2 linked regions of the Rattus norvegicus genome follow. The protein of the gene in region 1 binds, or shares a complex with, the protein of each later gene. Links are inferred from orthologs where the notes say so. Each region holds a gene or a part of one and is shown on either strand. Other genes may lie near its edges. The genes, in order: Topbp1 and Phf8.

Region 1 (3,820 bases):
GCCACCTCTTGAGCCCCTTATTGAATGCTTGGTGAAGAATATGGAATTTTTTCTTTATAGTATAAAAATAAAAATTATAGTTCATGCTTTTTATTTTGGAGATAAAGAGTTCAAAGATGTAATCTTTTTTCCTTTCCTCCCTACTCTCTCTCTTTCCCTCCTATGTCCCCCTTTTCCTCTCTTTATTTTTCCTTTTCCTTGTTCTTAAATCCAGGATGCACTTGCAGCCTTAGAAACCCCAAATGCTGCCAGCCAGAAGCGGAAACTGAGCTCACCACTCTCTGAAGTCATCGTCAGAAACCTGACAACTGCTTTGGCAAATAGTTCACGAAACACCGGCTGTCTTTCTGCTAGCCCTCAGCTAAAGGGTGCCCATTTGGAGAAGGTTATTAATACCATTTTCTTATTAAATGAAAGGTGTCCCTAATGCATGTCAAAGAACTGTGACTGATCTCTTTCTTTATTCTCCACGTATAGGAAGAGACTCCGAAACCGCTTGACAAAGTTGTGGTGTGCGTGAGTAAAAGGCTCAGTAAGAAGCAGAGTGAGCTAAATGGGGTTGCAGCCTCACTGGGAGCAGAGTACAGGTAGGTTCACCTTTATGTTTGCCGCCAGCCGCAGCTCGGAGAGAGCCGAAAGTCTCGTGTTCGTTCGTTCGTTCGTTCGTTCGTTCGTTCGTTCGTTCGTTCGTTCGTTCGTTCGTTCATTCATTCATTCATTCATTCATTCATTTATTTATTTTTCTTTTTTTCGGAGCTGGGGACCAAACCCAGGGCCTTATGCTTGCTAGGCAAGCGCTCTAGCACTGAGCTAAATCCCCAACCCCTCATGTTCATTTATAAGGAAGACTTGGCTTTGCTTGCTTGTGTACACGTCTAATAAAACTTCGATTTATTTTATTAAAGCAGTCATTCGTATGCTTTATACAACCAGCACACGCTTGTGAAGCTGTTTTGTGCTACTGTTCTGGAAGCTTGTGATCCATAAGTGACCAGCATAGTTTAAAGAAGTTCCTTCATGGAGTTTATAGTCAGTGCATCTGGGACCGACTGCATTTATTATCTACCGTAGTGATTTCCTGAGAGTAGTACTGACCACTGTAGCAAGTCTTCCTAGATTAAAATGGTCATTAAAGATATTTTAGTTTGCTTTACATTTTTAAAAAAACATATCTTGCCAGGGCATGGTAGTACACTCCACTAATTCCAGTGCTTGGGAGGCAGGAGCAGGTGAGTCTCTGTGAGGTCTACATAGTGCCAGGACAGCCAGGGTTACTTAGTGAGATCCTGTCTCTAGTGTTTTCCTAAGAGACGTAGTCTCAGGCTCTGGTAGAATTCTTGCCTAGCATATCCAGAGGCCTGAGCTCAGTTCTAAACACAGGTACAGTGTGTGGTAGGGACTAACTAGAGTCAATAAACAGGGTGGTGGCCAGTGACTGGACATGGATTTGAATGCCTTTAAGTTTTATTAACTTTTAAATACTTTTTATTGTAATTAAAAAGTGATATACATTTAAGACAAAATGGAAGGACTTTTAAAAATTTAAAGAAGGTAGTAATATTTCAAAAGTATCCCTCTGACATCTTCCTACATGGTGTACCTGACTATGGAGTTGCTAACATTTGTCAGGATACAGAACCTGCTATTTACTAGTCTTGCCTGTTCTCTAGTTCCTTGAGTTTTGTGTGAGAATGTTTTGTTCGGAGTAGGCTGTCGCTTCCCTTAGTTATTCCTCTTGCATATTTGGTTGTTTCAGGTGGAGTTTTGATGAGACAGTTACTCATTACATTTACCAGGGTCGGGCAAATGATAGTAATCGCGAGTATAAATCTGCAAAGGAAAGAGGGGTGCACGTCGTGTCGGAGCATTGGCTGTTAGAGGTGAGCAGTGCCTTCCCTCCTTCCTTCCCTCCTTCGGTGGGTGAAAATGTACAGTGTTTCAGACTACAAGCCAGTTTCATTAAATATAAATACATTTGCTAATCTTAGCTAACTGCGTGACAGGGCACGCCAATAACTGCCCGTTTCATGGCTGGGAAATGAAAGAGGTGGTAGAAAGTGTTCGGGTTCCACTGCTTTCCAGGCACACCCCGAGGGGCCCTGTTGGACAAACACCATGTGGACATAAGGGCCTTTGGGACTCCCAAAATCTGAGCTATATGTAGGTTGTGTTCTGGGCGTTGTTTTGTTTTAGCATCAGAACTTAAGGTTTTTTTTGTATTTAAAGATTTATTTATTACTTATTTATTTTTATGCATATGTGTACTCTGTCTGCTTATACACTCGAGTGCCCAGAAGAGGGCATCAGATCCCATTACAGATGGTTGAGAGCCACCATGTGGTTCTGGCGAATTGAACTCAGGACCTCTGGAAGAGCAGTCAGTGCTCTTAACCATCTCTCTATCCCCAGAACTTAACATTTTTATTGCTTGAATATTTACTAAATTTTAAATGAATACTTTGATTCCTTTTCGTCATTGAAAAATTATCTGAAGAGTAGCTGAGGTAAAAGGCGTGGAAGGCAAAGGCTTTCCCCACTGAGCCCAACTACTTGAGTTGGGTTCCTGGGCCCACAGAGTAGAAGGAGACAACCAACTCCACAACTCCACAGTCCATGATTGCAGCACCCTACCTGCCTCCCACCCCAGTGTAAATAGATAAAGATGTAATTCAAATTATATAAAAACAAAAGATGAAAAAGTGTATAATTTTTGAGGACAGTTGACTTAGCATCCTGATACACTTTAGCTATGCTTTTCTTGGTGCTGTCTAGAATGGCTGATACCTTGCTAAATGCAGAGGCAGGATTAGAGTTTATGCTTTAATACACAGTGCATTTTGGAAGTGACGGCAGTTTGTTACACGTTTATTTAATCTACTGTGTGTGTAGGCGTGTGCAGAGGTCATTTTATTCCTTTTACAGTTTAATATGGTTTCAGCGGTTGAACTCGTGTTACCAAATTAATAGGGCAAGTACATTTACTGGCTAAGTCATTTCCAAGGTCCCAATTGGTTATTTATATGCTAGAGTTTTTCACTGTAAACCTCTTTCTAAAATATCCACTTGTGTTTCAGTGTGCTCAAGAGTATAAGCATCTTCCAGAATCTCTTTACCCACACACTTACAACCCCAAAATGAGCTTGGACATCAGCACAGTGCAGGACGGGCGGCTCTGTGACAGCCGCTTACCCTCGGCACTTTCTGCATCTAAGGACGATGAGGTCGGTGGTGTGCACAGTGAGCCCCTCCTAAGCTGGATGTAGCCGTCTTTATGCAGTGACCATTGTTTGAGAAGTTGTCATTTTTCTCTTTGAATAGCCAGATCACCTGTCTGTAGAAGAAAATGCAACAGAGACTTTGGGCACACACAGCAGAGAGTCCGCTCTGCTGAATGGGAATGGAAGGGACGACTGCAAAGGAGGTGAGAGGCACTTGTTTACCCCTCATGCCCATGCCACGCCCTCCAAAGACAAGGCTTCTCTGAGTGCTTCTGGAGCTGACTCTAGACCAGGCTGGCTTCAAACCCAGAGATCACCGTCCTCTTTCTTCCAAGTGCTGGATTAAAGACCTGCACCACAAGCCAAACGCACTTTCCACTTGTTGGTTTTGACTTGAAGTCCCACGTGCATTTTGCCGCTAATAGAAGAACTGGGTTGGCCGTCTAGCTTTGAAGCCAGACACCGACTTCTCCAATAGCCCTGGAGAGGCATCTTCTTCCGGTCTGAGTCATCTGCTTAGGGCAGTCAGTTGCAGCCTCGTGTCCATGAGAAGCTGTGTGCTCGCTGGAGTAGCACTGTGAATTTCTTCTGAGAATTTTCTC
Region 2 (3,820 bases), on another chromosome or scaffold:
AAAATTGGACTTGATGTTTAAGCTGTCTTAGGAGCTGTACAAATCTATTTAGTGCCTGAGAGATATCTGCGTGTTTGTCTTTCCCTCCCTTCCCTATTCCTCTGTGTCTGTATTTCCCTCCCTATTTCTCCTCTCCCTTCTTTCTTTTCTTTCTTTCTTTCATTGTATATGTATGTGTGTATGCACATATACGTATCCTTGCTACAGGGTGGTTTGCTTCTAAAATTTGGACTTCTGGCCTCACTGCTTACAGCATGTTTCACTATCTACACTGTAGTCTACAGTGTTTACATCCTACCCCATTTTCCTCCATTTCACCCACTAATACCTTTTAGGAGTCAAATGACTATTTGATTTCAAGTTCTTAAATAACCCAGTTTTATACAAACAGAACTTTGGGCTGGAGAGAAGAAAACTCATGAGATAGAACATGACTTGTTCATTGACTTTCAAACATTTTAAAGCAATGGAATACTTTATTTTCAAATAACATTTTATATGAAAAAGTTTATATAACAAATCAAAGTATAGCTGCTTTGAATTGGATGAAGGACAGAGACCTAAAGCTCCCCTTGTTCCTCTCATCTGCCTTCCACATACCATCCATCTCCAAGATTTCTCCCATGAAGCTCAAAGAAACCACAGAACATCTTTTTTTCTTGACTTTTGATTTTACAGCTGACCAAACAAGTTCTAGAGCGTGTTCCACTAGAAAACTTTCCCTAGGTCAGAGAGATAGCTGGTAGCAAAATTAAGACTAGAAACTTTCTTCAAAAGTTCTACAGTCCAGAGTTTCAACCACACAGATAAGTACTTGATTATTTTTTATTTTGTGTTAGCTAATCTTGGAGACTTTTCCCTCCAGTTTTGACAGTAATGATTTTCTTTGCTCGTCTTCTCTTTACTTGTCAACCACTGGGTAAAGAAATGCCACCCAATAAATGTATGATGGCTCACTGTACAGAAACCAGGGGTGTGCATATGTGGAACACGTATATACGCCACTTCTATGGCAATACCATTAATGCTGGGAACAGACCTCTGCTCTTAGCATAGAGAGACTTGAGTAAGCTCTAACCCCCTCGTGTACTAATACTCTTGTAGGACATCTTCCAACAGAACGTTGGGAAGACGAGCAATATCTTTGGGCTGCAGAGGATCTTCCCAGCTGGTTCCATCCCCTTAACCAGGCCAGCCCATTCCACTTCAGTATCCATGTCCAAGCTGTCACTGCCCTCCAAAAATGGTTCAAAGAAGAAAGGCCTGAAGCCCAAGGATATCTTCAAGAAGGCAGAACGAAAGGGCAAGCAGAGTTCAGCCTTGGGGCCTGCTGGCCAGTTGAGCTATAATCTCATGGACCCATACAGTCATCAGGCACTGAAGACAGGCCCTTCCCAGAAAGCAAAGGTGGGTGCTGACCCATGGGTTCAGCCCAACCCTTTTGGGTCCCTTGGAAGAGCAGTATTAAAAAAAAAAAAAAACAGGCTATCCTGTTCCATCTCTTAGGGCCCCTGGTGTTTGGCTACCAGTTCCACTCATTTAATAGACATTTATTGAGACATTTTCTGTGTTGGGCACTGTGATAGGTGCTGTGAATGGAACTCAAGAGGCTGAGAGGCTAGAAAGGAAGATAGGCATAAAAACAAATGAGTGATATGAAGTGCAGATGCCAACCCATGATCAAGGGTATATGTGGGGTTTTGAGGCACAGAAAGTGGTTGATGCTATCTAGATAGGGCTCAGGAGCTCTTTGCCAGGTACATGACACTTGAATTGAATCTTGATATACTGAGGTGGGAATGAGATTTGAGAATGTTTTCTGTCAGGTTAGAATCTTGAACAAACAAGTCCTTGTCTCCTCTCTCAGGCTTCACCTTGTCTGAGTATTGTGTTGGCCTATCTGGGTATCTAATAATGGTGCCCTCTTCCCTATTTAGGGAACATGTTTCATGAGCTATGATTTCCCTGAGCCAGGCATATATTCTCAACCTCCTACTCCTATAATTGTTGGAGGTGGGGGTTGGGTACAGGCATATCATAAGGCCTATGTCAGAGGGTTGACAGTTTAGTAGTAAAACCAAAAGAAACTGGCCATTTTGATTTACCCGAGAGCCTCAGACTGGTGACAACTGAGCCTCCTCCTTCTACAGCTCAACATTGGTGGTGCCTGCTTGAATGACTCAGATGATGACTCAGCAGACATGGACGTTGATGGCAGTGAGAACCCCCTGGCCCTGTTGATGGCTAATGGCAGGTAAGATGGGTAAAAGAAGCACAGAGGTAACTAAGATTACCAGTGACAAAATGATCTGGGGGTTGAAACATAGGTGAGAGAAGGGCAGTATTTAGACTAATATCCAAATGTTAATAGATATTTACTTTGTTTAGAAGTTATGGTGGATAGGGGAGAGGTCTGGAGTCTAACTAGTAATTTTGAAAATGATGTTGTATAGGTTCAAGAATTTTAGCAAGTTATTATGATAGAACTACTAGTAGAAATAATGTTAGTAAATGTACAGGTAAAGACCACAGTGTTTTGAGTTGACAGATGGCTCAGCTATTAAAAGCACTTACTGCTTTCACAGAGAACCCCAGTTTTCAGTGCTCACATACAGTGGTTCAAAGTCAGCCATAACTCTAGTTCCAGGGAATCAGATACCCTCTTCATGGGCACTAGGCTCACGTGTGATGCACATACATACATTCAGACCAAATATTCAATTATTTTATATTGTATATAAAATAAAAATAAACCTTTAACAAAAGAAAATAGGGAATTTTAGTTAAGTTTTATTCACTATTATGTATAGAGGAGTGGGGATCATGGGCAATACCAGAGTGCCACAGAATGGGTGTGATGGTTAGAGGACAACTTTTGGGAATTCATTCTTTCTTTCTGATATGGGTTCCAAGAGGCAAACTCACTTAAGCTTTGCATGCCTAGTGCTTTTATGTCATCTGCTAGTAAAAAATATGCATTTAAAGTATGGTTTTATAATTAAATGCATAGGAATTTCAGTTTACAGATTGTATATTGTATACACTATTGTACGAATGTGTAAGGAGAAATGTTCAGTGCATACTGCGTCATTGTAATGATATGTGCTTGGAATTAGTTTAAATGTTTGCCAACACAGGTTAAGTAAATTATAGCATATCTTTTTTTTTCTTTTTTCTTTTTTTTGGAGCTGGGGACCGAACCCAGGGCCTTGCGCTTGCTAGGCAAGCACTCTACCACTGAGCTAAATCCCCAACCCCTATTATAGCATATCTTTAGAAAGGAGTCCAAGTATTAGAGAATCTAAAAGAACAGAGCAGTTTAGTATCTATTAGCACAGAAAGATGTCATTTTTATCCTATTGACATGGGTGTCTCACTATGTCACTCAGGTTGGTCTTAAATTTCTGACCTCAAGTAATGCTCCAGGCTCTCAAATAGTTGCCACTATAGACATTCCGTGTTTCAAGGTATATTTAAAAGGTTTTTTAAATTCATGCCAGGGATTCAATTTAAGGGTTTGTATATACTAGGCAGTCATTTTGCTATTGAACTACATCCCCAGTCATCCCTCACACTTTTTTTTGAGATAAGGTCTACCTATGTACCTCAGGGTGACATTGAATTCACTTATGTAGGCTATATTCATCTTGAAATCATGATCCTCCTGCCTTTGTACCCTGATTGCTGGGATTGTAGGCATGTTCTACTACTATTTCTGGGTTGATATATTTATAAACGTGTGTGTGTGTGTGTGTGTGTGTGTGTGTGTGTGTGTGTGTGTGTGTGCATGTTTTAATAGCATAATTAATTTTTTTTACTT

What was found.
Region 2: the proteins of Topbp1 (region 1) and Phf8 are in contact, whole or in part, in a crystal structure (PDB 7CMZ), measured with the Homo sapiens proteins. The link is inferred for Rattus norvegicus from reciprocal best matches to the Homo sapiens genes TOPBP1 and PHF8. Residues at the interface, in NP_008958.2 of Homo sapiens: Gln1298, Cys1299, Arg1314, Asn1315, Glu1316, Leu1319, Arg1369, Ser1406, Arg1407, Gly1410, Phe1411, Arg1413, Leu1414, Arg1465, Thr1466, Glu1467, Ala1470, Asp1471, Gln1475, Asn1483, Tyr1484; in NP_001171825.1 of Homo sapiens: Gly842, Ala843, Cys844, Phe845, Asp847, Ala848, Tyr850, Ile851, Tyr852, Pro853, Ser854, Leu855, Glu856.

What each region holds. Positions count from the first base shown.
Region 1 is NC_086026.1:112,790,766-112,794,585, forward strand, and holds part of Topbp1 (DNA topoisomerase 2-binding protein 1), read left to right. Parts: intron 1-214; coding exon 215-385; intron 386-477; coding exon 478-587; intron 588-1,756; coding exon 1,757-1,880; intron 1,881-3,074; coding exon 3,075-3,221; intron 3,222-3,318; coding exon 3,319-3,421; intron 3,422-3,820. UniProt on the Homo sapiens protein: Scaffold protein that acts as a key protein-protein adapter in DNA replication and DNA repair. Composed of multiple BRCT domains, which specifically recognize and bind phosphorylated proteins, bringing proteins together into functional combinations.
Region 2 is NC_086039.1:24,008,811-24,012,630, forward strand, and holds part of Phf8 (histone lysine demethylase PHF8), read left to right. Parts: intron 1-1,104; coding exon 1,105-1,407; intron 1,408-2,150; coding exon 2,151-2,254; intron 2,255-3,820. UniProt on the Homo sapiens protein: Histone lysine demethylase with selectivity for the di- and monomethyl states that plays a key role cell cycle progression, rDNA transcription and brain development.